Macaca fascicularis: one gene and its partners. The protein of the gene in region 3 interacts with the protein of the main gene of each other region in a biochemical or structural test. Links are inferred from orthologs where the notes say so. Each region holds a gene or a part of one and is shown on either strand. Other genes may lie near its edges.

Evidence for each region.
Region 1: the proteins of MAP4K1 (region 3) and CRK form a complex in vitro, tested with the Homo sapiens proteins (2 studies listed by BioGRID). The link is inferred for Macaca fascicularis from reciprocal best matches to the Homo sapiens genes MAP4K1 and CRK.
Region 2: the proteins of MAP4K1 (region 3) and NCK1 form a complex in vitro, tested with the Homo sapiens proteins (2 studies listed by BioGRID, with this or other methods). The link is inferred for Macaca fascicularis from reciprocal best matches to the Homo sapiens genes MAP4K1 and NCK1.
Region 4: the proteins of MAP4K1 (region 3) and CRKL form a complex in vitro, tested with the Homo sapiens proteins (2 studies listed by BioGRID). The link is inferred for Macaca fascicularis from reciprocal best matches to the Homo sapiens genes MAP4K1 and CRKL.
Region 5: the proteins of MAP4K1 (region 3) and GRB2 form a complex in vitro, tested with the Homo sapiens proteins (3 studies listed by BioGRID). The link is inferred for Macaca fascicularis from reciprocal best matches to the Homo sapiens genes MAP4K1 and GRB2.

The regions. Positions count from the first base shown.
Region 1 is NC_088390.1:1,530,703-1,536,158, forward strand, and holds part of CRK (adapter molecule crk), read right to left. Parts: intron 1,319-5,456; coding exon 1,181-1,318; 3' UTR 1-1,180. UniProt on the Homo sapiens protein: Involved in cell branching and adhesion mediated by BCAR1-CRK-RAPGEF1 signaling and activation of RAP1.
Region 2 is NC_088376.1:39,809,008-39,814,980, forward strand, and holds the end of NCK1 (SH2/SH3 adapter protein NCK1), read left to right. Parts: intron 1-734; coding exon 735-1,447; exon of another isoform or gene 1,448-1,483; intron 1,484-3,392; coding exon 3,393-3,587; 3' UTR 3,588-4,077; downstream 4,078-5,973. UniProt on the Homo sapiens protein: Adapter protein which associates with tyrosine-phosphorylated growth factor receptors, such as KDR and PDGFRB, or their cellular substrates. Maintains low levels of EIF2S1 phosphorylation by promoting its dephosphorylation by PP1.
Region 3 is NC_088393.1:45,678,133-45,684,165, forward strand, and holds part of MAP4K1 (mitogen-activated protein kinase kinase kinase kinase 1), read right to left. Parts: intron 5,688-6,033; coding exon 5,623-5,687; intron 3,844-5,622; coding exon 3,788-3,843; intron 3,690-3,787; coding exon 3,642-3,689; intron 3,503-3,641; coding exon 3,460-3,502; intron 3,370-3,459; coding exon 3,297-3,369; intron 1,863-3,296; coding exon 1,731-1,862; intron 436-1,730; coding exon 373-435; intron 263-372; coding exon 181-262; intron 1-180. UniProt on the Homo sapiens protein: Serine/threonine-protein kinase, which plays a role in the response to environmental stress. Appears to act upstream of the JUN N-terminal pathway.
Region 4 is NC_088384.1:31,929,165-31,934,688, forward strand, and holds part of CRKL (crk-like protein), read left to right. Parts: intron 1-3,223; coding exon 3,224-3,358; 3' UTR 3,359-5,524. UniProt on the Homo sapiens protein: May mediate the transduction of intracellular signals.
Region 5 is NC_088390.1:81,805,659-81,812,194, forward strand, and holds the start of GRB2 (growth factor receptor-bound protein 2), read right to left. Parts: upstream 4,046-6,536; 5' UTR 3,850-4,045; intron 1-3,849. UniProt on the Homo sapiens protein: Non-enzymatic adapter protein that plays a pivotal role in precisely regulated signaling cascades from cell surface receptors to cellular responses, including signaling transduction and gene expression.

The DNA of each region.
Region 1 (5,456 bases), on a different chromosome or scaffold from region 3:
GCTAATTTTTTGTATCTTTAGTAGAGATAGGGATTCACCATGTTGGCCAGGCTGGTCTCGAACTCCTGACCTCGTGATCCACCCGCCTCGGCCTCCCAAAGTGCTGGGATTACAGGCGTGAGCTACCGCCCAGCCAGTTCAACATTTTTCAAAGCACTAACCCTACCCCAAACTCATGTAATACTAACTTGACTTTTATACAAGTTGCACAGAATGCAGAGGGCAGAATTTGGCCCCAAAACCTTCCACAGAATATTAGAGGTGATTGGTCCTTCCACTCTGAGTAGAACCTAAGAATTCCAAGAGTCTCCTAATAGGATACTGGCCTTCAAGAGAAATGGCCCTGCTGGATCCCATCAGTTAGGACTCTAGTTAACTGCTGTAGAAGGGTGACCTACTACGACCCTTTAGGGGAAGGCAGAGAGCTGGGAGACTGGCTGTCCACTTAGTGAATCCAACACTGGCTTAAAGCTATGCACTGAATAAAGTGCTCGGTACATTCTGCTTCTCACCTGGAATGAAAATACACACTTATCCTAGGAATTAACCTACTTACAGGTTTGGGGGACAAGAATGTCAAGGGCTAAAAGAATCCCAAGAAAAAGTATGAAGCATCGACTAGGAAGGAACAAATGCTTCTAGTAGTGTTCTTAGAATTCTTAGGATCTGAAATGTCAGAATGAGTCATATGCTGGTCATGCTCCATACAATGAAAGCAGTCCTGCTTGATACTATTCACACAGTGCATTACTTCCCGGGGGTGGAAGGGAACAGTCTGTCGCCATTTGATAGTATGGTTCCAGAATGAAAACAAAACCACTGAATAAATCAGGGTAAGCAGTGTGTAATACTCCTTCCTGTCCATCGGTTTTCCACAGGGTGATTTGCATTGCCTGAGAGAAAGGAGGCAAGATACCTATCCCTTCTGATACACACAGGCACGGCCACTACCTCCTACAATTGCCAATTTCAGAAGCTAACACACGAGCCCTCCAGTTCGTACCCTGAATATGGTACAGAAGACTAGGAATGGAGTAGTTCAGTCTAAAAAAAGATCACAGGTAACAGAATGCTTATATAAACTAGACTGCTTTTGACATCTGTAAGAAAACTGTATAGATGGCAGCTGGAAAAAAAAAAAAGATTGTTCCCATCTGTCAGCAAAACTGTTGAGCTATACTCAGCTGAAGTCCTCATCGGGATTCTGTTGATCCAGCAGACGGACATGTGTGAATGGGAAGTGACCTCGTTTGCCATTACACTCCCCTTCCCACTGACCACTCACATTAATCTTCGTAACCTTTACCAGCTCACCGACCTGCAGGAGGAGAATAAGGAGAGCACTTTATTTCCAGTTAGGAATGCAGCTGCACAACTCCGTTCTCTGGTCAGCACACCCTGCCCATGTGATTGCTCTAGGGATGTGACAGAAATGGCCCCTTGCTGCCTCCCCAGCCCCAGCCACCAGACTGATTCCTTGTGGTTAATGCAGGCAGAAGGAAGAAGTGTTTTTAGCAGTGCAGAAAAACAGAGAATACAGAAAGTAAAACAGGATCCCAGATAATGATACTTTTTGATTAAAAAAGGAAAGTGGTAATTATTGGAAATCTCAAGTGTCTCTGAACAAGCAATCCCCACTTCAGTGAGTGAGCTAGTATTCCCTTTCTTTGTACTCACTACCCTCGGCTTTCTACCTGCTCCGCAGACCCTGTCCGAGGAGAAGCAACCTTCTCCCCTCTTTTTTTGTGTTTTTTCTTTTTTTTGAGATGGAGTCTTGCTCTCTTGCCCAGGCTGGAGTGCAATGGCATGATCTCAGCTCAATGCAACCTCTGCCTCCCAGGTTCAAGCAATTCTCCTGCCTCAGCCTCCAGAGTAGCTGGGACTACAGGTGCCCGCCACTATGCCCAGCTAATTTTTGTATTTTTAGTAGAGATGGAGTTTCACCATTTTGGCCAGGCTGGTTTTGAACTCCTGACCTCGTGATCCACCCGCCTTGGCCTCCCAAAGTGCTGGGATTACAGGCGTGAGCCACGGTGCCCGGCCACCTTCTCCCATCTTTAGCGTCCGGCAGCAGCACAGTCCCCCAGCCCACTCGCACACATGTCCTGGTCTATTACCGCTTGCACAGCAGAAACTGATCATGGCAAGCATAGGTCACTTGGTCCTAGAAAATCAAGTGTTCCCATCACCTCCTGACCAAGGCAAGCCTTTTCCCGTATGGGCAGGTAGAGGTCCAAACTCCAAATCCAATTAGCTCTCAGAAAACCCCCACCTCATTAAGCAAGCTCTACTTGACAAGCCACTGCCTGCCCAGCCCCCCAATCCCACCATTCGACAGACCTTGCTGCTCCCTCAATGCTGCTGATTACCTGATCATTACCCAATGAGGGGTCAAAAAAACCAACTATGGTTGGGCACAGTGGCTCATGCCTGCAATCCCAGCACTTGGTGAGCCTGACACAGGTGGATGGATTGCTTCAGCTCAGAGTTTGAGACCAGCCTGAGTAACATGGTGAAACCCATCTCTACAAAAAATACAAACATTAGCTGGGTGTGGTGGTGGCCGCTCACAGTCCCAGCTACTCCGGAGGCTGAGGTGGGAGGATTGCTTGAGCCCAGGAGGCAGAGGTTGCAGTGAGCTGAGATCACACCACTCCATTCCAGCCTGGGCAATAGAGCCAGACCCTGCCTCAAAAAACAAAAACAAAAAACCCCCCTGTATTTCAGCATGTATTTACGAAATGTCTCGTTGCAAAATGAAATATAAAGTTGTTTTTTTGTTTCTTTTTTTTTTTTTTTTTTTTTTTTTTTTGAGACGGAGTCTCGCTCTGTCGCCCAGGTTGGAGTGCAGTGGCCGGATCTCAGCTCACTGCAAGCTCCACCTCCCAGGTTTACGCCATTCTCCTGCCTCAGCCTCCTGAGTAGCTGGGACTACAGGCGCCCGCCACCTCGCCCGGCTAGTTTTTTGTATTTTTAGTAGAGACGGGGTTTCACCGTGTTAGCCAGGATGGTCTCGATCTCCTGACCTCGTGATCCGCCCGTCTCGGCCTCCCAAAGTGCTGGGATTACAGGCTTGAGCCACCGCGCCCGGCCTTTGTTTCTTTTTTGAGACAGAGTCTCGCTCTGTCACCCAGGCTGGAGTGCAGTGGCGGGATCTCAGCTCACTGCAAGCTCCGCCTCCTAGGTTCACGCCATTCTCCTGCCTCAGCCTCCCAAGCAGCTGGGACTACAGGTGCCCGCGACCACACCTGGATGCTATTTTTAAAATATTTTTAGTAAAGATGGGTTTCACCTTGTTAGCCAAGATGGTCTTGATCTCCTGACCTCGTGAGCCGCCCACCTTGGCCTCCCAAAGTACTGGGATTACAGGCGTGAGCCACTGTACCCGGCCGAAATATAAAGTTTTAACAATCTATGATATATTTCTATCCTGCTATGAAACTTCAGAGGTCAGTCTGATGAATGGATTCACCCCATGGCAAAATGCTGAATGGTGAAATACAGCCTCAGATGCCATGCCACTGGACTAAAGAGTTTTATGACCATCCTTTAAGTATCAATATTTGAATTCTGGGCATACTCTGTTCATTTGGTTTTATTTTTTTTTTATTTTTTTTTATTTTTTGAGACGGAGTCTCTCGCTCTGTAGCCCAGGCTGGAGTGCAGTGGCCGGATCTCAGCTCACTGCAAGCTCCGCCTCCCGGGTTCACGCCATTCTCCGGCCTCAGCCTCCCGAGTAGCTGGGACTACAGGCGCCCACCACCTCGCCCGGCTAGTTTTTTTTTTGTATTTCTTAGTAGAAATGGGGTTTCACCGTGTTAGCCAGGATGGTCTCGATCTCCTGACCTCGTGATCCGCCCATCTTGGCCTCCCAAAGTGCTGGGATTACAGGCTTGAGCCACCGCGCCCGGCTCATTTGGTTTTATTAAACCAACTACTATTTACTGAATTATTATATAGCAGAGGGCATTTTATATTTTATAACTTTATATTACATTAAAATATAAGGTATTTTCCAATCCTCATAATCATCCTGCAATACAGGAACTGCTTTCATTTTACAAATCGAAAGACGGCAGTTTAGAGAAATGGCATGATACACATGCCACAGAGGCGGCAGTTAGTGACAGAGCTGGGAATTTGAGCCCAGAGCTATCCGGTTCCAAAGCCCATTTATGCTTTTTATCTTTTATTTTTTGAGACAAGGTCTCACTCTGTCACTTAGGCTGGAGTGCAGTGACACCATCATGGCTCACTGCAGCCTGTAACTCTCGGGCTCAGGGGATCCTCCCACCTTAGCCTCCCGAGTAGCTGGGACTACAGGTGCATACCACCATGCCCAGCTAATTCCAGGCATGAGCCTCCGCACCATGTATGCATTTTATACAGTATCAGGAACTTTCAAATCATGCTCCTGGGGTTGTACTGGGTTCCCTAAAAACGTCCGCAGGCCATCTATTGACCAAAGCCCACGGAGGTCCAGCCGCAGGGCCTCATTTACAGATGGACAGCTGGCCTCCTGGCCCCTCTGCTGCCTCCTAAAGACCTCTCTAAAAATCACAGAGGCCTCAAGTCATTGTATGGGTCATAGGATGCTGAGAAAATGAGGGACAGAAAGAAGGGGATAGAGAGACACATAAGATACAGAGGTTGAGAAAAAATAGCAGTGGGCTGGGTGCGGTGGCTCACGCCTGTAATCCCAGCACTGTGGGAAGCTGAGATGGGGGGATGGCTTGAGCCCAGGATTTTGAGAGCAGCCCTGGCAAAAGAGTGAGACCTTGTCTCTACAAAAATGTTAAAAAGCCAAGCGTGCTGGTGTGCGCCTGTGGTCCCAGTTACTTGGGAGGCTGAGGTAGAAGGTCACTTGAGCCTCCTGGGAGGTCGAGGCTGCCCTCTAGCCTGGGCAACAAGACCCTTTCTGCAAAAACAGAAAAAACCAAGCAGCTAAATCTGCCTGTGTCATGAAGATGAAGGCTGAGCACACGTGTGAAGGAAGGAGAGGAAGGGATGATGGTGCGCTATCCTTCCACACAGATAACAATCCTCACAGGCTGCTACCACCAGGGCTCTCACCGCACCTGGCCTGCCAGCAACTTTAGAATTCAAAGTTTCTCACATCTGGGCCGGGCGCGGTGGCTCACGCCTGTGATCCCAGCACTTTGGGAGGCCGAGGTAGGAGGATCACTTGAGCTTGGGAATTCAAGACCAGCCTGTGTACTATAGTGAAACCTCGTTTCTACAAAAATAAAACAATTGACCGGGCGCGGTGGCTCACGCCTGTGATCCCAGCACGTTGGGAGGTCGAGGTGGGTGAATCACGAGGTCAGGAGTTCAAGACCAGCCTGGCCAAATTGGTGAAACCCCATCTCTACTAAAATGCAAAAATTAGCCAGACATGGTGGCGTGCGCCTATAATCCCAACTCCTTGGGAGGCTGAGGCAGAGAACAGCTTGAAC
Region 2 (5,973 bases), on a different chromosome or scaffold from region 3:
GTACCATTTGGTGATTTTCTCATTGCTTTCAACACATATGTATTTATTAAGCATTTACTGTGTACTAAGCACTGTACAAGATCCTTGGGATTCTATCTGTAAACAAACAAAACTCCCTGCCCTTGTGGTGGTTACATGTGACTGGGGTAAGGGGAGAAAAACAAATAAATAATATTTTAAAATAAACATATGAGGTAAATAACGCTACCTGGGTCTGGGAACCAAGAAAGCAAATGGGAAGATTAGCCAGACATAACTGCAATTTTATATTGCATATCATATTATAATTTAAGATAGAAATAATTTTATTTTTATACAGCTCATTGTAGAATCTAGCTTGCTTTAAACTAAGACAAGAAGAGTATGGGTATGGTGGAGCCTTTGTGTACCTAGATTGTAGCTATGAAAGAAATCTATATTTACATTTAAGAGAGAATTCATCAATTTAGGACAACTTTATAATTATGTTATAAAGTTATTTCAGGGCCTTTGACAAGAAAAAAGATGGTGAACTGTCATATAATAACTGAAATTAAATATTTATTTGGTTAGAAAAAGATAATTTGCATCTTATTTCCAAAAAGATGATTTTTAACTACATAGAAATTTGTTATGTTTAAAGGCTTTAAAGATCTATATAGAGTTGAAGATCCCTTTTTAATAATGAATAAATTGGTTCTTTTGGCAATCATTTTTTTATATTCTCCTCTCATGGCCCTTTTTAATTTCAACAGGCATTGGAAAAGTGAAAAGAAAACCTAGTGTGCCAGATTCTGCATCTCCTGCTGATGATAGTTTTGTTGACCCAGGGGAACGTCTCTATGACCTCAACATGCCCGCTTATGTGAAATTTAACTACATGGCTGAGAGAGAGGATGAATTGTCATTGATAAAGGGGACAAAGGTGATCGTCATGGAGAAATGCAGTGATGGGTGGTGGCGTGGTAGCTACAATGGACAAGTTGGATGGTTCCCTTCAAACTATGTAACTGAAGAAGGTGACAGTCCTTTGGGTGACCATGTGGGTTCTCTGTCAGAGAAATTAGCAGCAGTCGTCAATAACCTAAATACCGGGCAAGTGTTGCATGTGGTACAGGCTCTTTACCCATTCAGCTCATCTAACGATGAAGAACTTAATTTCGAGAAAGGAGATGTAATGGATGTTATTGAAAAACCTGAAAATGACCCAGAATGGTGGAAATGCAGGAAGATCAATGGTATGGTTGGTCTAGTACCAAAAAACTATGTTACCGTTATGCAGAATAATCCATTAACCTCAGGTTTGGAGCCATCACCTCCACAGTGTGATTACATTAGGCCTTCACTCACGGGAAAGTTTGCTGGCAATCCTTGGTATTATGGCAAAGTCACCAGGCATCAAGCAGAAATGGCATTAAACGAAAGAGGACACGAAGGGGATTTCCTCATTCGAGATAGTGAATCTTCGGTAAGTTGATTTTCAGATGTAAATACAAATAGAGCTCTATGTATTAAAATGAAAAAGAGAAATGGAGAGGTTAAGTGGCTTCCCTAAAGTTAACCAGGTAACAAGCTGGGACATAACATAAGCATAAATGTTCCAAAGCTAAAGTCAGCATTCTTTCTAGCTATCTATTTTCAATGAAAAGAGAGTTGTGGCAGTGATGCTACATGCTGAGTTATTTGGTCTTTTCTAGTTCTGTTGATTTTGCATTCCTGATATATTTTCTGTTGCATTAAACTAAATGGAGAAAATGGAACATTGACTTCTTCATTGAATGTAGAATAATACTGTAGATTAAATTGGGAAACATTTTAAAAATTGCTATTGGATACAATGTGTAAGAAGATAGTCACTGTAGTCCTTATGACATAGGAAATCCCTGAATTTAAAAAATTGATACTAAGTTTCTTCATAAATTGGTTACTTGGAAATTGGAATACACTTTTTATTGTAATCTCAAAAAACCTATTTTAACACTGTGTTTGAAATGCATTTGCAATAAAAGGTAAATTATATTGCAATACTAGTAAACAATAAAACTATAAAACCATAAAAGTTGAAAAATAGTATGGTTTCATGGTCTCTTAGATACTGTTTAGGATATTAGAATTTGATGACACTCATTTTCCTTAAAAATGCCCTTTTCCTTGATAAAAGATATCATTACTTTTCCATTTATTAAATCATGATTAATCTTGGCTTTGCGTGAGTATATTTGTACAAAAGGGAATGTGTAATTGCACAAAATTTTGAAAGAAAATGTGTGGAAGTGGGGTGTGGTGGGGAGAGAGATTAATTGAACTTCTAATATGAAGTTCAGGAAAATGGGGCCTGTGCCTAATCCCTCAGAAAAGCAGTTGGTTGGCAGTAGGGAAGAGTGATGACATCCATTTTCTGTTAGTTGCCTGATCTGGCTCACTGTTTGAAACTTTGGGAGTAACTGTAGAAAAAGAGGCTTTTGGGGGTTGATATAGACTGTAACAACAACAACAACAACAAAACACCTAATTAAAAAGAAAATAGCTTGAATGCAGAATTGTGTGTATTTTCTTGTGGGTAATTGAGCATAAATATAAGACAAAATACAATATATACCATTATTTTTAGCAGTATACTTTTTAAGGTTAGGTCTCAAGTAGGCATATTTTGTTTAGCCTTCACAGTGTTTTTTAAACGTTTAAATTCATTGCCCATATTTAAATATTAGGATATTTATTGTAAAAATTCAGACTTTGGACCATTTAAAATTGAAAGAACTACCAACATTGAGACCCTATTCCTGCGGGGCAACAATCACAGCTGAGAAGTCACCACTTCTTTAGATTGGTGATGCACTGTCATTTTCTCTGCCCATCTACCCTTCCACTCTGACACTTGTTTACGTTATTCTTTTGGCTCTTGTAGGCATTTGAGTTTGTGGCCTTTCCTTAAAGTTTAGATTAATTCTCATTTGTGTGTTCTTCATTTTTGGGAATTCAGCGTGTTATCCCTAAGACAGCTACTGTTAGCTACACATTGAAAAGGGGTTGGGTGGGTATCTTAGACTTTCTCATGTGTTTCTCTGACTGGAGAGAAGATAGCTCTTGTTCTTCAAATATGTAAGGGATTTGCTGTGGGTGTCTACTGGTGGAGCTGTGGGTGTTAAGAGACTTTTGATTACACAGGTTTGAATCCTGGCTCTGTTGTTAACTAGATGGATGATACTGGCCAATTTATTAATAGCTTCCCTGAGACTCAGTTTTCACATCTGTAAAAAGGGTTTTGTTTTAGGGAGTAAAGGAGATAAATCTATGTAAATAATTTACCATGGTACCTAGGACTTAGTGCTTAAATTTTAGCTTTTAGTTTAATATAAAAATACTGATAGAGGGCTTTCAAAATGTTTACTGTATTTTTTTTTCTCTTTTAGCCAAATGATTTCTCAGTATCACTAAAAGCACAAGGGAAGAACAAGCATTTTAAAGTCCAACTAAAAGAGACTGTCTACTGCATTGGGCAGCGTAAATTCAGCACCATGGAAGAACTTGTAGAACATTACAAAAAGGCACCAATTTTTACAAGTGAACAAGGAGAAAAATTATATCTTGTCAAGCATTTATCATGATACTGCTGACCAGAAGTGACTGCTGCATAGCTGTAATTTGTCATGTAATTGAAGACTGAGAAAATGTTGGGTCCATCGTGCTTGATTGGAAATGGCTGTTTCTAAACCTTTATGAGAATTGACAATAAGTATTTTTATTATAATTCAGCCCATACATATATACTATGTATGCAGTGCATCTGCATAGAACAGTTCCTTATCCTTGGCCTTCTGTTTTATTGTTTTTTTTCTTTGCTGTTTTCCCTTTGCTTCTAATATTACAGTTTTGTATTTTGAAAAAAAAAATCAAATAATGCTTATCAGAATCTTTATATGGAAGAAATCCTTTATTGCCTATCCTTTGTTTCCTTGTAAAGGCGCCCTGTTCTGTTATGGTTTTTCATTATATAAAATTATTATATCTATATATGACATATGCTAAAATAAATTTCTTGGAGAGTGTTAATCTTTTCTGTGACTAAATAGCAATAATAAATGAAAAATTAGAAATTATTTCCAGGTATTATATTTGTCACAGGCCATTGTAAATACCAAGTATATTGTGTCTGCCTTAATTTTAAAAAATGCATTCATTGTCTTCAGTCGTACAGAAAGACACATGAGACATAGATTAGAAAACATGTTGTACAATTTTAATTTACAACTGTTGGAAACAAAAATCACTTTCTTAATTTTTTTTCCAGTGCTTCTCCCTTATCTGGTTATTCAAGAAAGCCAAATTGTCTCTGAGATATTTAGCTTTTCAAACTATAAATAGATGCTCTAGTGTTATTTATTTTTTTTAATCCCACTTACTTTACCAGGGCATCTTGTATTAGGATATGTTATATTTATGCCAGTGGGAAACAAGTTATGGCCAAGTTTTGCAAAAATAGGAAGCAGTGAGATACTTGGTTTTTTCTCCTCACTAAATATCAGTAATTATCAGGAATGGTATTACCTATTTTCATTTCCTCTTTTCAGCTTTAAATTTTGTTGATTGGGACGCTAAAACTGATGTATACCTGAGGAAAAAATAGAATGTGCTCATGGTTAGGGAAAATTATATTATTTTTAATTTTTTCTTTTTTTTTTTTTAGCCAAGTAGGAATTTGGGTGTATGGATGAGAGGTTAATCTACTTCTGTAGGCTATAGAAGAAAACCAGTTGTATTTTATGGTCATAATTTGTCCCCCTGTTATTGTGGAAATTTAAATTTAGGTAAAGTAGCCGTCAATATTTTAATTGAAAAATACTAAAGCCACATAACTGAGTGGGATGTCATATGATACTTTCATCAAATTCCCTAATGCTGCCTAAGCATATGGATGTTTTAATTCTTTGCTATGTTATAAACAGATATCTAATACACCAGAATTATTGATGGTAAAATGGAAGTTGTGTAACTTGTGAATTTTTTTATCAATGTTTTAAATATTTTATTATTTAAATCTTAAAATCATTTAAAGACTTACGTTGCCACTGGGTGGCAGCCATGGCTTCTCCCACTAAGCAGCAGAAGTGACCAAATATAATAAGACAAATTTTCATCTCTATTACATCTGCTTTTAAAACATTTTAGTTCATATTCTATTATTTTTCTAACTCAGTGCTCCTTTGTTAAAGGTAATTATTAATAGTTAAGTTTTTAATGGAAGTAAAACTCATGTATGCTTATCTTCTTTGCTGTAAAATCACATGAATATAAATTGAGGAAAACTGTTTAAATGGTTGTAGGATGACTAGTAGTAAACATCGTCTTAATTTTTAACATATATATGATGAGGCTTTCCTTTTATTTGCTGTACGTTTCTGGGTTTTTCCCCAGTCTTCCTTATGAAAAAAATGTATGTTTGTAAAACAGGAACAATTAATGCTTTGCATCACAGACATAAACTACTCACAGTAAACTGCACTGAGCTGACATTAATAGAGCAGACTTTTGAGAAAGTAGGAATGTAGTAGCACTGGAAACAAAATGCAAATTTCTGTTCCATATTTAGGTTTATCATAGCTATGGAGCTCCCAGATAACCCATGTGTGCCAGTAATATCTATTGTGTGCTCTTAATACGGTATAAAAACCTCGCTGGAAGCTACTTATTTTGTACTTACACATTTTACCAGTTTTTAAAAAGTCTTAACACAATGCTTACACCAGTGACTGTTTTTATAATACTTGAAGTAACTTTAAGAACTGAAACAATCCTGGAAAACATCTACATAGCTAGATAGTAACAATACTTGTATTAGAAACCAAGTTTCCTTATTCCCAGCCTGGTGTGTGTATCATGACACACTACTCTGTGTATGTTTGGTTTTAGACTAGGAGGAGAGTCCTGGGAAGAGCAGTATGACAGAAGTTTTCTTCCACATGAGGAGAATGCGTAGTTTCAAATTTAAATACA
Region 3 (6,033 bases):
AAGGTTTGGGGTATAGCCCAGAGGGTCTCTAGTGGTGGACGGTGGTCCTGGGAAATTCTGAGGCATTAGGGACTTCGGAAGGCCACGGGGACTCCGTGGAACGAAGTTATCCATGTCCTCGGGAGTTGTGGAAGGCCCCGGGGAATTCTGGGCTGAGGGTCTTGGGGAAGGGAGGGTTACACTGAGCATCTTGGTGGCGCTGGGTCGTTTCTTGGGGCTCTTAGTCAGGGTGACTTTGATGAAGTTGTGGAAGGCAGCGGACCTTGGGAAGAAGAAGCCAGGTTCTGGGTGAGGGGACCAGAGACCCTCCCATCAGGCCACCCAGCCCCAGCCCCGCCCTCGCTCACCCTCCCTCCTGTCACTCTCTCGTACCATTTGCCTTTTTCCTTCATTCGGGGAGGCTGGTAGCCACTCTTGGTCATGAGGAAGAGAACTCTAGAATAGTAGGGAAAGGATATGGAGTTCAGACCTTCAAGGGGGCCAGACCTCATGGCTTGAGGGGTTCCTAGTAGCATTACGGTCAGCAGAGGGCAAAGTGAGAAACAGCATGGAAGTGAGGTTCGGGTTTTACAGTGCACCAGGATACCTCTCCTAAGGGAAGCCGCTTATGGCGTGGTAGAGCTACGGCAAGGCCAGGTGCAGTGGCTCATGCCCGTAATCCCAACACTTGGGGAGGCCAAGGCGGGAGGACAGCTTGAGCCCAGGAGTTGGAGACCACCTGGGGCAACATAGTGAGACAAAAAAAAAAAAAATTTTTAATAGCTGGATATGGCAATGTGGGCCTGTAGGACCAGCTATGTGAGAGGCTAAGGCAGGAGGATCATTTGAGCCCTGGCATTCAAGGCTGAAGTGAACTACGATGGTGCCACTGCACTCCAGCCTGGGTGACAGAGCAAGATCCTGTCTCTAAAAATAATAATAATAAATTAATTAATTTTTAAAATGGGCGTGGTGGCTCACACCTGTAATCCCAGCATTTTTGGAGGCCAAGGCAAGTGGATCACCTGAGGTCAGGAGTTCGAGACCAGCCTGGTCAACATGGTGAAACCCCATCTCTACCAAAAAATACAAAAATTAGCCAGGTTTGATGGCGCTTGCCTGTAATCCCAGCTACTTGGGAGGTTGAGGCGGGAGAATCACTTGAACCTGGGAGGCAGAGGTTGCAGTGAGCTGAGATCGTGCCACTGCACTCCAGCCTGGGTGACAAGAGTGGGACTCCATCTCAAAAATAAATAAATATATAAAAATTAAAATAAAAGATAGGCTAGGTGCAGCGGCTCACGCCTGTAATCCCAGCACCTCGGGAAGCTGAGGTGGGCAGATCATCTGAGGTCAGGAGTTTGAGACTACCCTCGCCAACATGGTGAAAACCCATCTCTACTAAAAATACAAAAATTAGCCAGGCGTGGTGGTGCACACCTGTAGTCCCAGCTACTTGGGAGGCTGAGGCAGGAAAATAGCTTGAACCCGGGAGATGGAAGTTGCAGTGAGCTGAGATTGCGCCACTGCACTCCAGCCTGGGTGACAGAGCAAGACTCAGTCTTAAAAAATAAAAAATAAAATAAAATGTTAAATTAAATTTAAAAAATAGAGCTGCAGCATGTGCCAAGGTAGGCTCAAGTGGCGATCCCTGAACTGGAGGTTCCTGGGATGGAAGGCAGAAGCTGAGGGTGGGCTTTGGGCCAGGGCTGGACAGGATCTCTGGGCCTGGGGACCCCACACCTGCCTACCTGAGAGGGTGCACATCGAAGAGCGGTGGCTGTAGCTCGGCCAGTTCGATGGCCGTGATACCCAGGGACCAAATGTCACACAGCTCATTGTATCCTCCCTTCAGGGCCACGGCTGCCACTTCTGGAGCCATCCTGGGGGGAGACACACTCAGAGAGCCAGAGGTGGCATGGGGACAGGAAGGGAAGGAGGGGCAGAGAAGGAGAAGGAGTTGAGGGGAGATGCAGCACACAGAGTCAGACGGAGAGACAGAGGGACGGGAGGAAAGACAGACACAGGCAGACGAAGACGAAGATGCAGACTGGGCGCGATGGCTCACACCTGTAATCCCAGCACTTTGGGAGGCTAAGCAAGGCAGATGATTTAGGCCCAGGAGTTTGAGACCAGCCTGGGCAACTTATCAAGACCCCATCTCGGCTGAGCATGGTGGCTCTTGCCTGTAATTCCAGCACTTTGGGAGGTCAAGGCAGGCAGATCACCTGAGGTGAGGAGTTTGAGATCAGCCTGGCCAACATGGCGAAAGCCCATCTCTACCAAAAGTACAAAAATTAGCTGGGTGTGGTGGCAGGCGTCTGTAATCCCAGTTACTTGGAGGCTGAGGCAGGAGAATTGCTTGAACCCGGGAGGTGGAGGTTACAGTGAGCTGAGACTGTGCCACAGCACTCTGGCCTAGGCAACAGAGCAAAACTCCATCTCAAGAAAAAAAAAAAAAAAAAAAACCACCATCTCTACACAAATTTTTAAAAAATTAGCCAGGTGGCCGGGCGCGGTGGCTCACGCCTGTAATCCCAGCACTTTGGGAGGCCGAGGCGGGTGGATCACAAGGTCAGGAGATCGAGACCACGGTGAAACCCCGTCTCTACTAAAAATACAAAAAAAAATTAGCCGGGCGCGGTTGTGGGCGCCTGTAGTCCCAGCTACTCGGGAGGCTGAGGCAGGAGAATGGCGTGAACCCGGGAGGCGGAGCTTGCAGTGAGCCGAGATCGCGCCACTGCACTCCAGCCTGGGCGACAGAGAGAGACTCCGTCTCAAAAAAAAAAAAAAAAAAAAAATTAGCCAGGTGTCATGGTGTACACCTGTGGTCCCAGCTACTTGGGAGGCTGAGGTGGGAGGATCTCCTGAGCCCAGGAGTTCTAGGCTGCAGTGAGCCATGATTGTGCCACTGCAATCCAGCCTGGGCCACAGTGGGGCTGGAGGCACAGTGAACCTGTCTCTAAAAACAAAACAAAATGAAAAGACAGAGAGGCAGAGAAGAGAGTGAGAGACAGAAACAAAGAGACAGAGAGCGCTACAAACTGAGCTAGAGGAAAGAAACAGAAATGGATATGGAGGGACAGATAAATCAAGATAAAAACCAACACAAGCACCTAGAGCAACGGGCAGAAAAGGGCACAAAACGAGAGAGAAAAGTGGAAAACTCAAGAGACACCCAGAGAGAATGAAAGAATCTTCCATGGAGAAAGGAAGAGACAGGGAAACGAAGCCAGGAAGGAGGATCCCGGGGAACCACGGTGGGAAAAACCACTGAGCCCCACTCCACCCCTAGCTGCCCGCTGGGCACCCCTCACCAGTAGGGTGTCCCAATGAAAGAGAGGCGTCTGGCCAGCGTTGCCCCGATCTGGGCCGAGATGCCAAAGTCAGCTGGAAGCAGAGGGAGACATAGTGATCTGGGGTCCACTGTGCCTCCAGCCCCCCAGTCAGCCCCCCTGCTCAACCCCCAGCCTTACTCACCCAATCTGACCTCCCCAGCATCATTGATGAGGATGTTAGCTCCCTGGGAATGAGAGGGGGTATGGGAGGCTGCGGAGACTCTTTCCCCACAGCTCAAACTACCCTGATCCCTGAGTCCCCGAAATGCCACGCCCATCTCCTGGGCCCCACCCCCCAACAGCATCCCTGTAACCCCAGACCACCTTGATGTCTCGGTGTATCTTCTTCTGTGAGTGCAGATAGGCCAGTCCCTGGGGAGAAGGGTGGACAAGGGGACTGTGAGTGTCTGGGGGCTGGAGTGGGGGCTCCCCTCCTCTCCTCTCCCCAGAATACCCAGGCCTCTCCTTACCTGGAGCACTTCCCGGCAGACATAGCTAATCTGGAGCTCTGACAGGGAGCCTGTCACTGCAAAGGTCACCCCGGCCAGGCCAGGCGTTGGATGGGAGCCAGGGAACCTGGGCTGGGGAGTCCTGCCCCCCCACACCAGCTAAGAGGGTGCCATAGGGAGAGGGGAAACAGGACGGGACCAGTGGGAGGGGGAGATGGTGGGGTAGTCAGCAACAGAAAGAGGCAGCGATGCAAATAAAAGAGGCCAATAGGGCTGGCGCAGTGGCTCATGCCTATAACCCCAGCACTTTGGGAGGCCAAGGCGGGTGGATCACTTGAGGTCAGGAGTCCAGGACCAGCCTGGGCAACATGGCGAAACCCTATCTCTACTAAAAATACAAAAATTAGCCAGGCATAGTGGTGCATGCCTGTAATCCCAAGTACTCAGGAGGCTGAGGCAGGAGAATCGCTTGAACCCAGGAGGTGGAGGTTGCAATGAGCCGAGATCGTACCACTGCACTCCAGCCTGGGCAATAGAAGGAGGCTCTGTCTCAAAAAAAAAAAAAAGAAAGAAAAGAAAGAAAGAAAAAGAAAAAGAAAAAGAAAAAATAAAGAAAGAAAGAAAGTAAGAAAGATAAGTAGAATATGATGTAGTTCCTCAGACGCTGAAAGACAATAGGAAGAAACATACAGCAAGAAAGGGGCACGTAGGAGGAGGGGCTATGACATTTCACAGAGGTGGTCAGTCACGGCTGCTCTCTGAAGGTGACAGCAGGTGAAGACGTGAGGGCTCCACTCTGAGTGGGACTAGCCACAGCAAGTGCAGGGTCCCAGGTGGGACAGTTCCTGGTGGGTCTGGAAAGCAGCAAAGGCGGTGGGGTGGAGTGGAGGGGGAGGAGGAAAGTGGGAGGAGGTGAGGTCGGCCAGCCTGGGGTGGACCCTGATGAGGAGTCTGGGCTTCTCCTCCGAGAGAAATGGAAGCTGTAGGAGGGCTCTGAGCAGGGGCGTGATATGACTTTGCAAAATAAGGAAAGGCACAGAGACACAGAGACAGAGAGAGACAGAGAAACGGGGGCAGATCACACATGAGACATACAGAAGGAACAGGATTGAAAAAACCAAAAAAAATGAGACAAAGACAGAGGTCAGAGGCCAAAATGTGGGGAGACAAATTTAGAGAGAGACCCAGAGGATGACAAGGGAAGAACACACAGGCGGAAAGTCAGAGAGACAGAGAAAGGCCGTCAGACATTAGGTCTTACAGACCAGCTGTGGGATTCACTTCCTTTCTGTGGACCTCAGTTTCCCTGAGGACTTCTCAATGAAGTCCTTCCTTTTCTAACATTTGAGGTCTAGGGTTGGAAGGAATCAGAGATTTTCTGCCTTCCAGATTCAAGTGATGCTCCTGCCTCAGCCTCCCAAGTAGCTAGGATTACAGGCATCTGCCACCACGCCTGGCTAATTTTTTGTATTTTCAGTAGCGGCGGGGTTTCACCATGTTGGCCAAGCTGGTCTTGAACTCCTGACCTCAGGTGATCCACCTATCTCAGCCTCTCAAAGTGTGGGGATTACAGGCGTGAGCCACCGCACCAGGCCCAGCAGTTATATTTTTTAAAATAATTAAATTAAATTAAATTAAATTAAATTTTAAAAAGCCAGGCACGGTGGCTCAAGCCTGTAATCTCAGCACTTCAGCAGCTGAAGGCAAGAGGATCAGCTCAGCCCAGGAGTTTGAAATATGGCCCAGAAAGACAGTTCCTGTGAGATACACACACACAGACGGAAGAGGTGAATTCGGGTCGGGGTTGGGGGGTGGGGGTGGGAGGGTTGCCTGGGTCCCCTTGTGCTTTCTCTAACCTTGGTAGATGTCCTGGAGAGAACCAGCCCCACAGAATTCCATGCAGATCCAGAGTTTCTGCAACCTGCAGTGTTTCAAGGGTAAGAATAATAATAGCAGTAATACATTATTATTTGCGGGAAAGTCCCCGGTTTGCTTCTGTCTTGTTCTAGATCAGTAAGAACTTTAATGTAACAGCTCTCATCACTCCATCTCTCCTTGTCTACCAGAGTGAGGTGGTTTCATTCCCGTTTCACAGACAAGGAAGTTAAGGCTCAGAGAGGAAATGTGAGTTCCGGGGCAAGTCAACTCAAACCTAGACCTTTGGGCGGGACCCCTCTGCCGTCCCACGCCAACCTAGGAGGTAGGGCAGAGATCTCCACGGGTTGTGGAGATTTGGAGGGGACAGAGGGGCCCAGGGCATCTGTTCC
Region 4 (5,524 bases), on a different chromosome or scaffold from region 3:
GACGGAGTCTCGCTCTGTCGCCCAGGCTGGAGTGCAGTGGCGCGATCTCGGCTCACTGCAAGCTCCGCCTCCCGGGTTCACGCCATTCTCCTGCCTCAGCCTCCCGAGTAGCTGGGACTACAGGCGCCCACAACCGCGCCCGGCTAATTTTTTGTATTTTTAGTAGAGACGGGGTTTCACCGTGGTCTCAATCTCCTGACCTTGTGATCCGCCCGCCTCGGCCTCCCAAAGTGCTGGGATTACAGGCGTGAGCCACCGCGCCCGGCTCAGGGATCATTTCTATAGTTCATTACTAGAGAAGTTTCTCTGAAGGTGTAGAGCACCAAAAACAACAACAACAACAACAACAAATTGATCCCTCCAGAGTGAGTGCTTCTTTGAACTGGATCCGTGTACCATGAACCCAGAGGAAGAATAGGGAGTGATGAGGGAAACAGCAAGGTGACTGCCAAGCTACCAACCATTTTAGGATCTCAGCACAAGCACTGTTCGGTAGAGCCATGGAAGAAGCTGGTCCATAGCCAGGCCTGTAACTGGGCAGCAGGCTGCATAACAGCCAGGATGTCTTTTCTGTGTTAAGATAGAAAACAGCATGAGGAATGATGATGGTGTTTTAGCATGTGGAAACTCCTGCAAGGCCACAATGAGGCACTAGTGGTCAAGGGGCCACCAGAAGTCTCTCAGCCATTCTCTTCCTAGGCTGCTCTTTGACCTACTTCTGCTGGTCAAGGTTCCCTCTGTCTAAGCAGTAGCTCCTTGATCCTATGCTCTGCAGCATTGATTTAGTAGTGTTTTTCTGCCACTTGCTGCTTTTATGTGTCTTCTCTCTCTCTCTTTTTTCTTTTTAATAGAAGCTAGGTCTCACTATGTCACCCAGGCTGGTCTTGAACATGTGGCCTCAAGTGATCCTCTACCTTGGCTTCCCAAAGTGCTGGGATTATAGGCGTGAGCCACTGCGCCTGGCTACACCAAGTGCAGTGACATGATCTTGGTTCACTGCAACCTCCACCTCCCAGGTTCAAGTGATTCTCCTGCCTCAGCCTTCTGAGTAGTTGGGATTACAGACATCTACCACCACACCTGGCTGATTTTTGTATTTTTTAGTAGAGATGTGGTTTTGCCATGTTGGCCATGCTGCTCTCGAACTTCTGACCTCAGGTGATCCACCTGCCTCGGCCTCCCAAAGTGTTGGGATTACAGATGTGAGCCATTGCGCCCAGCCTTTTTCTTTTTCTTTTCTTGAGACAAGGTCTCGCTCTGTCACCCAGGCTAGAGTGCAGTGGCATGATCACAGCTTACTGCAACCCTGCAACCTCTGCCTCCTGCGCTTAAGCGATCTTCCCACCTCATCCTCCCAAGTAGCTGGGACTGCAGGTGCATGCCACCATGCCTGGCTCATTTTTGTATTTTAGAGACAGGGTTTCACTGTGTTGCCCAGGCTGGTCTTGAACTCCTGGGCTTAAGTGATCCACCCGCCTCAGCCTCCCAAAGTGCTGGGATTACAGGTGTAAGCCACTGCGCCCAGCCACTTCGTGTTTTTTACACTATGTTATTATCTAACAAAGATTCATCGTGTATCCCACTTAAAAGACAAGTTTTTTGAGGATACGAACTGACCTGCCCATTTTCCATGGAATAGATGTTCAGTAAATTTTATTTAATTGTTTAGGTAGGATCATGTAGAAAGTATCCTGTTAAAGACCGCCAGACTCACAAGTTAATTGGAAGGTATGAGGTGTGAGTGTTCTTGGTAGCTTTCAGTCCCTAGCCTCCTCATCTCCATCTTCCCGTTGTCTTCCTTGGCTGCTCAGTATCCATCACAGTAATTTATTAGACCCCGTTTTCAGCCTGTTCCTCGTTGGTTTTGAGAGGACCCTTGTTGGTGACAAGGTTGGAAATCCTCTGATACATACAGTGCTGTGCTTCTCAGTGCTAATTCCAGCTCTTCCCTTCGTGCATCCAAAGGGTATGATCATTAGAGGGGGCGTGGGGCTGGGTTCTACTCAGGAATCTCTACTCAAGTAACAATCATTTGATTACTGTAAGACCCTTTCAAAGTTGGAAGGAAACTGAGACTTGGAGAACTTAAGCAGTTTGCTACAGTCATGTAGTTTCTAAAAGTGGCAGAACCAGGACATTTGTTTGGTGTCCTGCATGTTCCAAAGTTCATGGCATGGACCACTGGACTGTGCCACCTTGTGCCTGTTTTTATTTTGAGATGTAGTCTTGCTGTGTTGCACAGGCTGGTCTCAAACTCCTGGGCTCAAGCAATCCTCTCACCTCAGCCTGCCAAGTACCTAGAACTACAGGCACGCACCACTATGCCTGGTTCTGTATGTGTTTAAGCAGACGAAAGCTTATTTATTATTGTCTTAGATCTTAGGCGTGTCTTATATTCAAGTAGTGTTTTTATGGACCTGAGTACACAAAATAGAATCTTAGATTAGTGCTCTGCTGAACAGAGAGCACAATGTCTACAATGGCTACCACCTGAAGGTCTTTTTTAAAAATACACCTTTTTGTGTGATTTGACTTTAACTGTTCTCAGAATCATGTGTTCATTTCTATCCTGTTGGGGTTAGTAGCCAAAATAAAGGGTTGGTTTGGGGAGGAGCTGCTTTGTGCTCAAAAGCTGTTTGTGCGTGTGCGTGTTTTTGTTTTTTTGAGCAGGGTCTCACTCAGTTGCCCAGTCTGGAGTGCCATAGAACGATCACGGCTCACTGCAGCCTCAGCCTCATGGGCTCAAGCCATCCTCTCACTTCAGCCTCCTGAGTAGCTGGGACTAGAGTCATGTACCACTACACCCGGCTAATTTTTCTATTTTTTAGAAGAGATGAGGTTTCACCATGTTGCCCAGGCTGGTCTCGAACTCGTGACCTCAGGTAATCCCAGGAGTTCAAGGTACAATGAGCTGTGATCGTGCAACCGCATTCCAGCCTGGGTGACAGACCCTGTCTATAAAAAAATTAATGTGCATGGTGGTGCACGCCTGTAGTCACAGCTATTCAAGAGGTGGTGGTGGAAGGATCACTTGAGCCCAGGTGTTAGAGGTTACATTGAGTAGTGATCTCACCACTACACTCCAGCATGGCTAACAGAGTGAGACTCTGTGTCTAAATAATAATGTATGGGCCCTTTGGATAAGGTAGTGTTTGTGATTTAATGTAAACTGTCTTTTTCTTGTTGCAGAGAAATGCTAACTTTGTCTTCTTCATCCGTACAGGTTGGTGACATTGTGAAAGTCACAAGGATGAATATAAATGGCCAGTGGGAAGGCGAGGTGAATGGGCGCAAAGGGCTTTTTCCCTTTACGCATGTCAAAATCTTTGACCCTCAAAACCCAGATGAAAATGAGTGATTGCCGTTGCCCCGTTTCCTGCTGCTTTGTTGTTCTGCCTGTCCTAGTCTCCTTTGAAGTGGGAAAGCATTCTCTCTCATAGGCAAGTCACACTGCATTGCCGAAGTCCAGCTTTCTGCAGACTGGCAGTCGCACACACATTTGGAATGCACACAGCGACTGCCTCCTGACGTTTGTATCATAGTTGTATTGTCAAAGAGTAGCCGATTTTAGAGTTCTTTTGGATCATAAACTGGAAATACTGATGGAAGCACACAAGTGGAGAGAAGTTGACGAGGAAAGGGTCTTCCTTCTCATCGCTGCCTGTTTGTACATGGGACTGATTCTGTCGTGTTCACCAGAGAAAGCCTGAGGCCATGGCGAGATACTGCATGTTTGCTGTTCCACAGAGCAGTGGCTCAGCTGCCATCTTGCTTTTCTTTGGACAACAGGAACTGAACCTTAAGGAAGAGAGAATTCTGTTCTAAAACTCCAAAATTCGGCTTTTTTTTTTTCTTTTGGTTTGGTTTGGTTTTGGAAAACTAATTAATTAGACTTGTGTGGGGTTTTTTTGTTTTGTTTTGTTTTGTTTTTTGTTTTTTTGAGACGGAGTCTCGCTCCATCACCCAGGCTGGGGTGCAGTGGCGCAATCTTGCCTCCCTGCAGTTTTCGCCTCCCGGGTTCAAGCAATTCTCCTGCCTCAGCCTCCCGAGTAGCTGGGATTACAGGCGCGCACACCACGCCCAACTAATTTTTGTATTTTTAGTAGAGACGGGGTTTCATCATGTTGGCCAGGCTGGTGTCGAACTCCTGACTTCAGGTGATCCACCCGCCTCAGCCCCTCAACGTGCTGGTATTATAGCCATGAGCCGCTGTGCCTGGCCTAGACTTGTGTGTTCTAAACAGGTTAAGTAGCAGGTTGGGTTTTTATGATAGTGCAAGGAATGACACATGCCTCTGAGCTTCTAAACTGAAGCTGCTGTAACTAAAGGAATCTGAAAAGAACAACCCTGAAGCAGAGGCCTTTATTGTCTTGGTTGCCAGTAGTAGTTTGTTTTGCCATGTAGCAGAAAACACACAAAATAATGCAGCTGTGGTGTGCCATGCCATGTGCACAGCCCCTTGGATTACTTTGTTTTAAAAAGCATCAGAGTTGGGGGGTACTTTAGGGAAACCTTTGCTTACCTTGTTTGCCAGTGATAAGAGCAGTGGGTTGGAGGGCAGTTGGCCAGTTTTCTGTTCAGCTTTTCAGTGAATGTACCCCTTTAAGGTTAAGACTTAAATTCCCCTAAAAAGTGGGGTTGTTCATAGAATCATTGGACTCATTAATGAATCGTTAAATTCCACTCACTGAAGCCCAGACCTCCGTACCCAGGCCCAGTCTCACCAGGCTGCCAGAGAAAGTTGGTGCTGCTGATACTGGTCTCACAGTCTAAGTAAGTGTCTGATGCTCCCAAGCAGTGGAAATGCAGGCTCTGGAAATTGGTTAATGTATTTGATGTCTTAGTGTTTTAGTGACTAGGGAGACCATTAACCAGTTTATCATTAACCACTTATCAGTGTATTGATGTTAAAGCATTTCCCTGTTAGCTAAAAGAGGCCTGTTCATACAAGCCAGCTGGTATATATGTGTGGTTCATCCGTCATCTGCTGCTCATGGCAGACTAGAATTCTGGGAACCCTGTGTAATTCAGTCTGTTCTCCCTTCTGGGCCCTGGTAAAGACAAGCCTCAGCTTATAGTGAACACAGCAGACCTAGAAATGTAGCAACAGCCTAATGAGTAACTGTCATTTACTGAGTATCTGCTGTGACTGTGGCCCTGTCTGGAGGTTCCTAGGTTTTGAGATTTAGAACAATGCCTTCTGGAGACAGAACCAGCAAAACAACCATTTTTCAATTTTTCTTTAAATCAGTATTCTATTAGGCAGATAACTGCCATATTCATGAATCTTGAGAGTGTTCCCTGTGACAGAATTAATGGTCAGTTGGGAAAACTATCACCATGGCTTCCCATCTATGGTTCTCCTCTAAAATTCTTAGAGATTAGCCCTTCCTTGCCAGTGAGAACGGTGGCCGCCTCCTGCTCTGCATGGTCTGCGGCAGTTGCCGCTTCTGGTTAGGTGTGTCAGGTTGGTTTATTTTGGGCTCAGGCCTGGCGTAGCACCCACAGGTGGCAGATATATCAC
Region 5 (6,536 bases), on a different chromosome or scaffold from region 3:
AGTCTACAGACTCAGAAGAATTCTCTGGTAGGCAAATTAATGACCCTATTAAGTATAAATTTCAAGTTAAATCACTCTACATCACAGTACTAAGAATGCTAAAAAATTTACACATGTAAAAATGAATCATGGTTATAGTCACTCATTCCATTAGGCTATTCTAAATACTCACTTTGTGTACACACAGAAAAATGTAATTTTAGCTTGAATAACTTAAAACCACACAGCGGTCTTATTATTTATGGCTACATTCGGTAACAACAGTTTTGATCCTTAGACCATCTGTATCAAAATCTGCCCATTCAGAGACTGATTCACTGTGGGGTACATCCTGGAGTTCTACCAGAACCTAATTTTAAAAAGATCCCCCAGTGATTTTTATGGATACTAAATTTTACATCATTGCTATACCATAAGGATGCCTTAACCAGATTTTAAAATTTGCATTCCAGATAATGCACTACAATGTCCTTGCATGAAATGAAAATAATGCATACTGGCAGGGTGCGGTGGCTCACACCTGTAATCCCAGCACTTTGGGAGGCTGAGGTGAATGGATCACCTGAGGTCGGGAGTTCGAGACCGGCCTGACCAACATGGAGAAATCCTGTCTCTACTAAAAATACACAATTAGCCAGGCGTGGTGGCTCATGTCTGTAATCCCAGCTACTTGGGAGGCTGAGGCAGGAGAATTGCTTGAACCCAGGAGGCGGAAGTTGCGGCGACCCGAGATCGTGCCATTGCACTCCAGCCTGGGCAACAAGAGCGAGAATCTGTCTCAAAAAAAAAAAAAGAAAGAAAGAAAATAATGCACCGGCGCAGTGGCTCACGCCTGTAATCCTAGCACTTTGGGAGGCCGAGGCGGGTGGATCACGAGGTCAGGAGATCGAGACCATCCTGGCTAACACGGTGAAACCCCGTCTCTACTAAAAATGCAAAAATTAGCCGGGCGTAGGGGCGGGCGCCTGTATTCCCAGCTACTTGGGAGGCTGAGGCAGGAGAATGGCGTGAACCTGGGAGGCGTAGCTTGCAGTAAGCCAAGATGGCGCCACTGCAGTCCAGCCTGGGCGACTGAGCAAGACTCCGTCTCAAAAAAAAAAAAAAAGAAAATAATGCATATTCACTTGGTACCACTAGGAAAAAGGCAACTTTGACCAAAAAAAAAAAAAAAAGAGAGACTTTCAAAAGCCGTTCAGTAATGGTGGACAGTTCCTCTGAATTAAGCAAGTAAGTATTAATTTCTCTCCGGAGGGCATGGTGACTCTCTATTCTGTACCACTTCATTTCTCCAAAATCCATTCCTCTTCTGTTGTATGTGTAATAATTAGAACTCTGATGCACAACATGCGACGTGATAACAGCAATTACTGAGAAGAATCTCTAAGTACCATCAACCAGTAGTATTTAAAACCCAGCAAGCCTCTCAAATCTGAGTAACTTGCTGACGGGGTAAAGTGCCTCAAACATTTAAATGTTTGAGTTATGCAGGGCACAGTGGCTCACGTCTGTAATCCCAAGGCTGAGGTGGGCAGATCACTTGAGGTCAGGAGTTCGAGACCAGCCCGGCCAACATGGTGAAACTCTGTCTGTACCAAAATACAAAAACTAGCCGGGCTTGGTGGCGAGCACCTGTAATCCCAGCTACTCGGGAGGGTGACGCAGGATAATCGCTTGAACCCAGGAGATGGAGGCTGCAGTGAGCCGAAATAGCACCACTGCACTCCAGCCTGGGCGACAGAGCAAGACTCCGTCTCAAAAAAATAAAATTAAGGCCGGGCGCGGTGGCTCAAGCCTGTAATCCCAGCACTTTGGGAGGCCGAGACGGGCGGATCACGAGGTCAGGAGATCGAGACCATCCTGGCTAACACAGTGAAACCCCGTCTCTACTAAAAATACAAAAACTTAGCCGGGCGAGGTGGCAGGCGCCTGTAGTCCCGGCTACTCGGGAGGCTGAGGCAGGAGAATGGCGTGAACCCGGGAGGCGGAGCTTGCAGTGAGCTGAGATCCAGCCACTGCACTCCAGCCTGGGTGACAGAGCGAGACTCCATCTCAAAAAAAAATAAATAAATAAAATAAAATAAAATAAAATAAATAAATAAATAAATAAATGCTTGTGTTTAGTAGGAGAAAGCTGATTATAAGAATTAACTCTGGCCAGGCGCAGTGACCCACGCCTGTACTCCCAACACTTTGGGAGGCCAAGGCAGGTGGATCACCTGAGGTCGGGAGTTCAGGACCAGCCTGGACAACATAGTGAAACCCCCATCTCTACTAAAAATACAAAATTAGCTGGGTGTGGTGGTGAGCGCCTATGATCCCAGCTACTCAGGGGGCTGAGGCAGGACAATCACTTTAACCCAGGTGGTGGAGGTTGCAGTGAGCCGAGATCACACCATTGCACTCCAGCCTAGACAGAGCGAAACTCTGCCTTTAAAAAAAAAAAAAAAAAAAAAAAAAGTCACGTAAGCCCTGAGCCGACCCAATCTTCCTTACTATTATAAAGACATACTAGAAGAAGGCATAAGCAGGCACAAAAGCATAATCTTAAAAGAAAAAGACTAAAAGACAAAAATAACACAAGCAAACCACACTTGTGACCTAGTGGCAGGATTGATTTCTTAGGGATTAATTCAATCTTTTGAGCCTCCCTGTTCTCAGAGAGGGGACTTCAGCCTCCCACAGCTCTCTAGCAACCCTTCTGGCTGACTGCAGGGAACGCGCAAAAGTAAAGGAACGAAAGCAGGAAAGAGAGTCTCTTCCCGAGAAAAAAGATGTAATATTGAAATGAGAGAAAACGAACAGCACGAAAGGGAAGAAACCTCGGAAAATTACGCCAGAGTGGGGACTACAAGGAGGAAGGGGAAGTAGATAAGAGAAAAAAAAAAGGGGGTGATGGGGGGAGGAAGGGACAAATGACTTGCATTACACAAGCATTTCGTGTCCCTATTGGAATGGACAGAAGCAAAGAAGGAAGGACATAACTGGAGAAGTACTAAGTGAAAGAGAGGTAAGAAAGTCAAAAGAGACTAATGCTAATTTCTCTCATGTGTCTGACATTTCTGAAAGTAAACAACATCAAGAGGAGATAGACCTCAAGTGCACTTCAGTCCCCTGCAAACCGCACTTTCATAGCGTTTGAAGCTAGCCTTGAAAAACTTTCTAAACAAGCCATAACTCACATGTGGCTTACAATCACAGAGACGGCACGCTGCAAATGAAAATTACCAGCGCCCGCTCTCGCCGCAATCCTTCCTCGGTGCAGTCCAACCTGCTGCTATTGAATTTTTCTTGACAAACATTTTTCAAATAGTTTTTTTTTTTTTAAGTGTCAGAATAAAGGTATCTCCCCCGGCTCCAGCAGCAAACGTTCTACCCCAAGGTAGATTCCCGCACAAAATTAAGCCCAAAGACGCCAAGAGATGGTGACGTGGTTGCCGTGCAGGTCGAAAGCACATCAATCACCACAGCTGCAACCCACACCAAGTCCCCCGCCACCGGGCTCGGGCGGACTGACTCAGCCGGCGTTCTGCCCGCCTGGGCTTCCCGGGCATCTTCCGTGCAAACCCTCCCGATGAAGGCAGGGGACTTCGCCAGGGAGCCCCGACCTCTTCCCCTGGACTCCCGGACTGCCCAGAGCCGAGAGCCGGAGGAGGACGGTCCCCAGGAAGGAAGCGCCCCAAAAGGGAAAACGTAGAGTCCGGAGCCCCGGGGATTCCGCTCCACGTCCCGAGCCTCGCCGCCCCGACCCGAACCCCGGGGCCGGTCCCGGTTCCCCCGGGGCCCACTCCCGCTGCAGACCGGTGAGGAAGAGGCACCAGAGCCGCGCCGAGCGCAGCCTCCCGCACTCACCGTGGCGCAGCTGCTCCGCTCAGCGTCCGGCCCGCCCCTCCACAACGCTGCGAGCGGCCTGCGACCCAGAGGCTGCTCCGCGAGGGCAGCGCTTGCTCCCGCCGCCGTCACCGCCACAGACACAGGCACAGACACAGCCTCTGACACAGACGCCGCAGCCGCCCGGTCGCCGAAGCACTAGTGCCTCCTCGCTTCCGCTCCCCGTCGGTATCCCGCGAGAACTTCTCCACGAGGCCCCGCCCCGCTCCGCCCCCGCGAGACTTCCCCCAGCGGAAAAGGCCCAGAGCGCAGGCGCTCCTTCTCGGCCGGGCCCCCACAGGTGGGGACAGCTAGCTGCCAGGGCGCATGCGCCAGACCGCCCCGCAGCAGGTGGCCTTGGCACGGCTCCGCCCCCGGGTCGCCGTAACCCTCTCGGTGCCAGAACAGGTAAATGACAACTTGGCCCTGAAGGACTCTTCCCCCGTCTAATCACTTTCTTTTCCTCTTCTACCAAACCGAGGCAGTTGGATGGATAAGGGCTGAGGGGAGGAAGAGATCTTCCAGCATGAAGCGCTCCACATAGAGGACCAGGTCTTGAAGTGTTTGAGAATCCGGTCCGTACAAACTCTGCAGTGTGGAATGATTGGTGAGTTTGTTTGCTCATTGATTGAATCGTGTGCCTAATAGAGACTGAACACTGTGCTGGGTATAGAACAGAAATCTTGGCCCTTAAGGAATTCACTGTCTAGGGAAGTCGAAGAAAAATTAACAAATAATGCCATAAGTACTGTTATAATTATTTGGAGCTGCTGAGGAAGCTAAAAGGATGGAGGAGGGACTGCTACACTGCCCATTGCAGAAGAGCCTTCACAGACGTGATGCGGCGATGTCTGAGCTGAGTCTTGGAGGATGAGTAGGAATTTGCCAGGCAGAGAAGCCAGAGTAAGGGCATTTCAGGGAAAGGGAATGGCACGTAAGTACAGAGGCTAAGTACAGAGGAACGGAGGCGTGAAAGAGAAAGTCGTGTTCTGTGCAGTGCTAAGTAGTTCAATTCCTGTATGAGGCCGGTGAGTACGGGGGAGTGGCAGAAGATGAGGCTTGGAGAAATAATTCTTGTTTTTCAGTTCCCAAAGCTCTTCCAATTAAAGGATAGAACAGAACACACCTAGTGTTAATGTGCCTTCTGGAAGCCAACAAAATAGCGCTGAGATGAGAATAACCAAGCATCTGATTCTATAGAGAAAACAAGCCCATTGAAACACAGAAAATGAATTGTTCTTTCACCAAGTATTTATTGAGCATCATGTGTGTGCAAGGGGCTCTGGAGGGTAAAAGGCCAACCAGATAAAGCCCCTGCTTTCAGTGCTTTGTAATCTGGAGTTGCCTAATCTGTAAGACAGGTAGTTTGGCCCCAAGTGCCACTGAACTACACAGAGATGGCTGAGGAGGGAGCCAGTACTTGGTGATGAACTAATCAAGAAGGATTTGGTTTGAACGGCAAAGTGAAAACGGGGAGGAAAGAGGAAAGAGTAATGGAATCAGTCACTTTTTTTTTTTTTGAGACGGAGTTTCGCTCTTGTTGCCCAGGCTGGAGTGCAATGGCACGCAATCTTGGTTCACTGCAAGCTCCACCTTCTCCCATCTCAGCCTCTCAAGTAACTGAGATTACAGCAGCCCACCACCACACCTGGCTAATTTTTGTATTTTTAGTAGAGACGGGGTTTCGCCATGTTGGCCAGGCTGGTCTACGACTCCTGACCTCAAGTGATCCACCTGCCTCGGCCTCCCAAACTGCTAGGATTACAGGTGTGAACCACCACTCCTGGCCATCAACCAATGTTTTTGATTAGTCTGAGCCCAGGAACTGGGGGGAAGAGTAATGAGAGAGGGGGCCAAAATGCAAAATCTATAGCTCAGGTGTCATAGTCAAGTGATGGGCAACCTCTGAAGGTTTGTGAGCAGGAGATGTCTGATATGAGGTGAAAATAACAAAAGGACCCTCTATTTACCACTTGATGCATACTTAAATCATAGCACCTCCACAGGGTGGGCAATATGCCCATTTTATAGACTTGGAAACTAAGCCTTAGCGAGGTTAGTAATTTACCCAAGGAAACCAAAATATAGTAGACCTAAGATTTGGACTAAGGCCTGTCTTGTTCTAAAATCCATGTTTTTTTCCCCCACTATGCCACTTTGTTCTAAAATAGCAGCCAGAAAAAAATAGAAATGGAAGGGAGGGACTTGGCTGCTAAGCAGAGAGGAAGACGTGAGGGAAGAGTTGCAGTTTTTTGTTTTGAGTGGGCCTGGGTAACGGGCAGAACACAGAAATTTGCCAGTCAAGAGGCATAGCTGACTGGAGGGGGCGGGCACAGAGAACAGGGAAGGGCAGGTGAGGAGATGATTGTAGGGGTGAAGGGAATTTTTCCCTTCCCCTCTTACAGTTTGAGTCTGCTGAAATAAACTGGAAATAGATTAACAGGAAAAGCCACATACAAATTTACTGACATGCAGTGTGCATGGTTGCCATACAGAATATGAGACTCAGAGAAGAGCCAGGTGACTGAAGCTTAAAGAGCACCATCTTTATAGAGGAGAGGGAGATGAGGGGAGGTCGGCAATACTGCGAGGTAGTCAGTGATTTTTAGGTAAAAGGAATGAGCCCAGACAATGGCCTAGGACAAAGTTCCTCTGAGCTCTGGGAGCTG